2 linked regions of the Drosophila melanogaster genome follow. Changing the gene in region 2 together with the main gene of any one other region gives a genetic interaction. Each region holds a gene or a part of one and is shown on either strand. Other genes may lie near its edges.

Region 1 (3,755 bases), on a different chromosome or scaffold from region 2:
TTGAGCGTCCCCAGCACACAGAGAAAAACCGGTGGGGGTGTTTGCCAAAACTATGAAACTGCAGTAGGGGGGGTTGGGAATGTGGAAAGGAAGGCGGTGGCCTGATAAAGCATTCATGCAGCCACGCCCACTTTGGCAGTGAATGGGCGTTCGCTGGTGGCAATGCAATTGAAAATGAAATTCTAATATGGACGCGCGCTTTTCCGAGCAGCGTTTAGCATTCGATTTCATTTGTCTAAACTAAATAACAATGCAGTCTGCGCTGCCACATTGGCGTTGCATGTTGCAGCTGCCAAAATTGAGTTTTGATGCGCTGCATACCCCATACCCCATACCCCATTTCCCATTTCCCGGCCTGCACTCCTACGGTCCACCAGTCCGGTCCTGTTATTGTTTGAAACGTCGCGTTAAATTTACATAAATTGATTTGATTGAATTTTTATGAGTCGGCGGCGCAGCAGTCCAGTGGCAGCCACCCAGGCATCCACTTGCACCAACCCATCTGGCATTCTGGATGCCCCCGTCGACTGGCCGGCGGGCATCAACTGCTGATGACTTTTCGACCCGCCCTCCGACGACTCACTGGCGATGGGAGGGGGCACGTGGGTATTGGGGATCGGAGGCGACCGTCTAATTAAAGTCATTTCCAGCAGCTGCATAACCCCTACACCCACAACGCCCACTCTCTGGGCCGTGGTCAAGTCGAGGTCACAGTTGGCGCTACATGGCGCAGGGCTTAATGCGAGCCATTTGGCCCGGTTGTCCGGCGATGGGCAACGGACAGGGGCAACGGACAAGGGACGACAACGGACACGGACGAGGGCAATCAGCGAAAAGAGAGGCGGCCAAAGGCAGAACCAGACACGGCACACATTGTGTGTACAACTTCTGCGGCGGGCAAAGAATGATGCACTGTGAAAAATAAAATGTGAAAGTACTTAAAGTTTCTACTGAAACTTTGAAGAGATTCGCTGACAGGCAGATTATTTTAAATTCCAAATAAGCTTCTTACTTTGTGCCAAGGACATTTAGGAACACAATTATCTCTTGTTTTTATATATAAATATTAAATATTATTTGTTGTTTCTTGAAAAAAAAAATGATGCAATGATTCCCCGCATTGTTCAGTGTAGTGAGTGCATTGCGGCATCGCTGGCATTGCATATTTTTAGGGTTTCCTCGCTGCTTGCTGAAATTTGCACATTGCAACAAACTATTTAGCGTTGGCAAGGGATGGGGGGCGCCAATTTGTCATAAATCTCGTTATTTTAAATCGCCGCTTGGCATTCCACGAAATTGTGTATGGGTAAATGGGCCTTTTGTTTGTATTGATTTGTTGTTGTTGGCTGCTCGCTTTGCTGGTTTCTGTTAACGTCAACGTTATCGGGCGACAACAGTTGAGGATAATACATACATACTATGTTGGGGGCTACGAGCACTATTTGAAGAGAGTCCAAAAATATGGGATATTATCGTAATTGGCCAAAAAAAAAAATTCCAAGTTCCTTAACATCGCTGGTTGAGTTTCTTAGCAAGGTGCTGAACGAAAGGAGAAAGTACGAAAAACGATCGCTAACTTTTTATTGGGTGATTAGCAGCGGGTCATTCAACGAGGCTCGTTGGTCTAGAGGTATGATTCTCGCTTCGGGTGCGAGAGGTCCCGGGTTCAATTCCCGGACGAGCCCAAGTGAAGAAGTAGTTTTTTTTTATTCAGCTGAAAATATGTCATGAAAATATGAATATTACACCATTTCATTGTGGAAATTGCATTTTCAAAGGGGTATTAATATTTTGCATAGTTTGCGAATTGTGTGCGAATCCAATGTGCACTTTAGTGGTCAGCCCAAAAGTATGCTGCATAATAGTGATCTTTTGTACACTGACGCCATCGCAGAGGCGCGCATTTCACAACACTGTGCCACAGCTGATAATTGCCGTTACATTTTGCCAGTGGCCGACACTTGAAGAAATTTACAATAAGGAAAATGCTATAAAAAATTTATTTGATATAACAAAAATACAATTACCAAACTATTTTTATGAGTCCAATGCATTGATTAGTGCATCTTATTTACAAAAGAGCTATTTTCTTTTGAGAACTTAGTAGCATACGATAGTTTACACGCCATAAAATGTTATTTTGTTTGTGTATTGCCAACACTGCCAACACTGCTAGAAGAAGACTCAGTAGCTTTCTGATCTTTCGCGGGTCATTTTTGTAAGAAAACTGTTGAAATCGAAGGAAACAGGAAAACATCGAAATGGAGTACCTCTACAACGCTAGTATGCATTGCGAAGATGAAGAACGCGTCAATTTCTACAACATGGACAAGTTCTTCGTGCCCCACGTGCAGTCGATTGAGCTGGAGCAGCAGGCGATCCTGCGGCAATACGTGCCCCAGTACGCTTATCAGTGGCCCTGGGGATTTGCCCCTTCCGCTTACAGTTATTACCAGGGATTCGGTAGCCTTAATGTACACACACACACAAAACTCCGGCGATGGAACCTTGAGTAATAACTATATCTTCTCCTGTCCCCTTGCAGATGATGACTATGGACATTACCAAAACCGAACCCGGTCTCGTCGGGCTTTCCTCCAACCAACAGCAGCAGCAGCAGCAGCAGTCGCAGCAAAGCAACGCCGGCATGAACAGCGGTGGCCAGAACAACGGGCCCAATCCCAATGGCAATGGGAACGTGGTCAATGTGGTCAACTCCGGCGGTGCCGGTGGCGGCAACAATGGCAACGGGAATGTCCAGAGCATCGCCGCCGCTGCCAACAATAATAACAATAACAACAACAACGGCAGCCAATTGTGCGCCGGCTGCGGCAAGCACATCCAGGACCGCTATCTCCTCCGCGCCCTGGACATGCTGTGGCACGAGGACTGCCTCAAGTGCGGCTGCTGCGACTGCCGCCTGGGCGAGGTGGGCTCCACGCTCTACACCAAGGGCAACCTGATGCTCTGCAAGCGGGACTACTTGAGGTTAGCTGCGATTTAAGAAATACTAAAACCATTTGATAGTGTAATATACCTAGAAGTATAATAGACGATGGTATTCATTAGTCATGTTAGAAGTTAAAAATGATACCAATTCTTGAGAACTCAGGTCTATAATGCTTATAGATAAAGTATTCATTATATTCTGTGACTTATTTTTAGTTTTATAAGACTTTAAGAAGCTTTCTTGCTAAGAGTAATTTATATTTAAACAGTACCTATTCTACCTAAAGCTTTTTTTTACGCATATTCAATTTAATAGCAAAGAGTAAAGATGTTTACTTAAAGAAGTCAGAACCATGTAAACCATATAAACTTCAAACTTTTTACTAATCTGTTCATAACTTTTCCCCGCAGATTGTTTGGCAACACGGGCTACTGCGCCGCCTGCAGCAAGGTGATCCCAGCCTTCGAGATGGTGATGCGTGCAAGGACCAATGTCTATCACTTGGAGTGCTTCGCTTGTCAGCAGTGTAACCACAGGTGAGCATCGAAAGGAATTTGGCCAAACTGGCCCATTGCCCCATTGTGGGGCAGACCATACATCATCCATTGTGTGGGAGAAGCGACTAAACGATTTCGCATGCATTTTTATGGGCAATTTGCACAGAGATTCGCATTGAAGGTGGCCACATGAATCCCTTTTTAATCTTTGGCCCATCGGAGCGGGCCCAAAGTGGCACTTGAAGTTTTATTAACGTGCCGCCAGACAGCAAATTGCCATCGTTTACAAGCTAACGGCTAAACAAACG
Region 2 (3,755 bases):
GAGCGGCAAGTGAATCACGGCGAATCGAAACCGATCCGAACCCACTCCGGAGCCGAAAAAGAACTGATCCTACCATCAAACGCATCCAATAAACACGGCCGCCAACATGCAGAGCGACTTTCACAGAATGAAGAACTTTGCCAATCCCAAGTCCATGTTCAAAGTAATACTCTCAGTGCGCCTGTCGCTAAGCCAAGCTAATCTAATCTTCTGATTCCCCTTCCCATCCATTGCCATCTTCTCCCGCAGACCAGCGCCCCCAGCACCGAGCAGGGTCGTCCGGAACCACCAACTTCGGCTGCAGCGCCCGCCGAGGCTAAGGATGTCAAGCCCAAGGAGGACCCACAGGAGACTGGTGAACCAGCAGGCAACACTGCAACCACTACTGCTCCTGCCGGCGACGATGCTGTGCGCACCGAGCATTTATACAAACACCCGCTCATGAATGTCTGGACGCTGTGGTACCTTGAAAACGATCGGTCCAAGTCCTGGGAGGACATGCAAAACGAGATCACCAGCTTCGATACCGTCGAGGACTTCTGGAGCCTATACAACCACATCAAGCCCCCATCAGAGATCAAGCTGGGTAGTGACTACTCGCTATTCAAGAAGAACATTCGGTGGGTTTGCTGTTTATTGCAATTCTGCCAAGATAACCTTTACTAACTGATATCTCATTTGCAGTCCCATGTGGGAGGATGCAGCCAACAAACAGGGCGGTCGTTGGGTCATTACCCTTAACAAAAGCTCCAAGACCGATCTGGATAACCTATGGCTCGATGTGGTAAGTGCACAAAGAAACGAGTGGTGAGCGGATGGTCTATTTATAGTGAATGTACATTCTTGAAATGCAAAAATATAGAAATAGGTGTATGATTTTGCAATATAAATTATAACTTATAGAAAATATCAGCTAAAAATACGCTAGTGCTAGCTTTTGTCTTAGGAACATTCAATAGTGAGCTTATATCATAAATATTTTTCGCATATGAGTAACTACAACTGTTTTGCCTTCCAGCTGCTCTGCCTGATTGGTGAGGCCTTCGATCACTCTGATCAGATCTGCGGCGCTGTTATAAACATTCGCGGCAAGAGCAACAAGATATGTAAGTTTTCACGCACACCCAACTTCAGCGGAATTCCTTTGTTTAACGATTAATGCTTTCCAGCCATCTGGACTGCCGACGGAAACAACGAGGAAGCTGCCCTTGAGATTGGTCACAAGCTGCGCGATGCCCTGCGTCTGGGACGCAACAACTCGCTGCAGTATCAGTTGCACAAGGACACGATGGTCAAGCAGGGCTCCAACGTGAAATCGATCTACACTTTGTAGGCGGCTAATAACTGGCCGCTCCTTATTCGGTCCGATCCCACACTGATTATTTTGTCTTTCATTTATTTATCGTTATAAGCAACAGTAGCGATTAATCGTGACTATTGTCTAAGACCCGCGTAACGAAACCGAAACGGAACCCCCTTTGTTATCAAAAATCGGCATAATATAAAATCTATCCGCTTTTTGTAGTCACTGTCAATAATGGATTAGACGGAAAAGTATATTAATAAAAACCTACATTAAAACCGGATACTTTTGATCTTTGATTTTGGAGATATTTTAAAATAGAAAAAAGTTAACCTATATTGTTTTTGGGATAATTACTTGTTGTATTACTAAAACGAGCTTGTATCCTAATATGGGCACCTAAAGCAAAACTTCCAAATTTGGAATTCAATTTGTTGCTAAAAATACGTTAGCAATTTCTAGGGTGGCCAAAAAAAAATGTGTATCGATATATCGATAGGTTTCCTAAATAGACATTAAAATAATTTTAGCTTTTTACTTATATTGTTAGAGTAAATACGTTTGTATTTAAAAAATAAGTCAGTATTTTTTTTTTATTAACCTATTATTGAATTTTATATGAGTGAGAGCTTTTCCATTCAGCCAAGAACGGTCACACTGCATGTGACATGTTTCAATTGTGTAGGCGCAGTCACACTGGTCGCGTCGCTCGTAGATATCGTGTAAGGATATGTCTCCGTGTTTAGCTAAATAAAATACATAAAATATATGTGCAATTCTAACAAGCATAGCCATTTAGCGTAGAGTAGTGGAACGAACAGCTCGTACCGGGCCAGTAACAACAAATTAACAAGCAAACGCACTAAAGTTTGTCGCGGAATAAAGATATAATAATAGACCAGCTAACCAACACAAACAAACACACACACGGCCAGAAGTTCGTTGGCGTTGAAAGGGAAAAATGAAACGAAATGAAAGGAGAATAACAGTGCAATAGATTCGGTTTACATTGTGCAAAAAATCGAAGTAGCCCCTGCCAACAGGGTCGCTAAAAATAAAGAAGGCGACAGCCTCTGTTTATCGTTGGGAATAAACAAATATATGGCCAGCGGAGGAGAATCATAACAAAGGCGCAAGACTAGCCAGCATAAAAGACAAAGGAGCTCTCCTCCCCCGCGTCCGCCACCCCCCTCCCTTTTTGGGGTTGAAAACCCCCCACGCGTTGCGGTGCAGCATCGCCCCGACTATGCGATACCCTGCAATCGAGTTTATAGTGCTATAGAGAGAGAGAGAGAGAGCGAGTTACGAACAAAATGCCTTGCGACAACGCCAAAACCTCTTCGGATATCGAGCATGTGGATTGGAATTCCGGCCAGCACTATGCGAATGTCAGGTGAGTTTTGAATGCCCTTGATATGGCCAAAAAAAAAGGAATCCTATAAGTTATTCAAGTACACCAAAGAACAAAAAAAAAAGTAAAATAAAGAAAAACGAGAAATAAAATAAAATCAAGTGCAAGCACGCAATTGAAAAATCGTGGGATGGTTGACATTCTTCTTGGCATTGTCCATTGTTTATTTATAGCCAGGAAACGGACATGATTTAAATGTTTGATTGTTCGTCGTTTGGGAAATCACAATAATTAAGTTCTCAACGCAGGCTGCAAGTGCTAAAAATCAATGTGTGTTCTTTGCGCCACAATAAACAAATCCAGCTGTCCATACCGACACGCAGATAAGATATACCTTAATCGAAATGAAAACGAAAATAACCCAATTTCAAGCAGCGATTGATTCATTCCCTTAATTTGTTGCTCTGCACCAACATCAACTGTTGAGATCTCAATCGTCGTAATCCCCATCTAACGCCTGCTAATGACAATCATTAGGCAATAGTTAACAACATTGACTTGTACTTACTTACTTACCATACTAGTTCCATGCCGATCGGCAACTTCGATTGAAATGCAAATATGGACACTACGATGCTGGGAAGGTGACAAGATCTTGACGCGAGGCGCCAGCTGTTATCTGTTTATACAATTATAGGTTTATAAATTACGCGCGATTTATTTATATTGCAATCTGACGTGACAGCGGGGCATTGACCATACCCAATACTCTTACGACTTTTAATGAAGCCAATGAGGTCTAAAATGAAGATAAATCATAAATATAATTATATATCAGTCATTGAAGACGTTCTCCATAACTAAAGCAGTTTAATGGTACTGGCTTTTCGATTCACTTAATTCGTATTGTTTGGTATTAGTATTTGTGGCTACCAACTTTTATTTGCCTCATAGATGTTGTATCTTTATCTTTAGTTATTCATCAAATTTTCAATGGAACGCTCTTAAATAAACATATTTACTCAATTGTATTTGAATGTTGAGAAATGCGGCTCTTGCGTAGCTATAATTTATATATGTATGCTCGTATTTTGTGAAATA

The links. Genes that interact genetically often act in the same process or in processes that back each other up.
Region 1: of CG4080 (region 2) and Bx, changing one enhances a phenotype caused by changing the other (phenotypic enhancement), as found in Drosophila melanogaster (one study listed by BioGRID).

Annotation. Positions count from the first base shown.
Region 1 is NC_004354.4:18,564,151-18,567,905, forward strand, and holds the start of Bx (beadex), read left to right. Parts: upstream 1-2,155; 5' UTR 2,156-2,261; coding exon 2,262-2,474; intron 2,475-2,545; coding exon 2,546-2,988; intron 2,989-3,360; coding exon 3,361-3,486; intron 3,487-3,755.
Region 2 is NT_037436.4:9,397,448-9,401,202, reverse strand, and holds the start of CG4080 (uncharacterized protein), read left to right. Parts: upstream 1-1,975; 5' UTR 1,976-2,616; coding exon 2,617-2,696; intron 2,697-3,755. Other genes in the region: eIF4E1 (eukaryotic translation initiation factor 4E1), read left to right, coding at 107-163, 250-620, 685-784, 1,019-1,106, 1,170-1,333.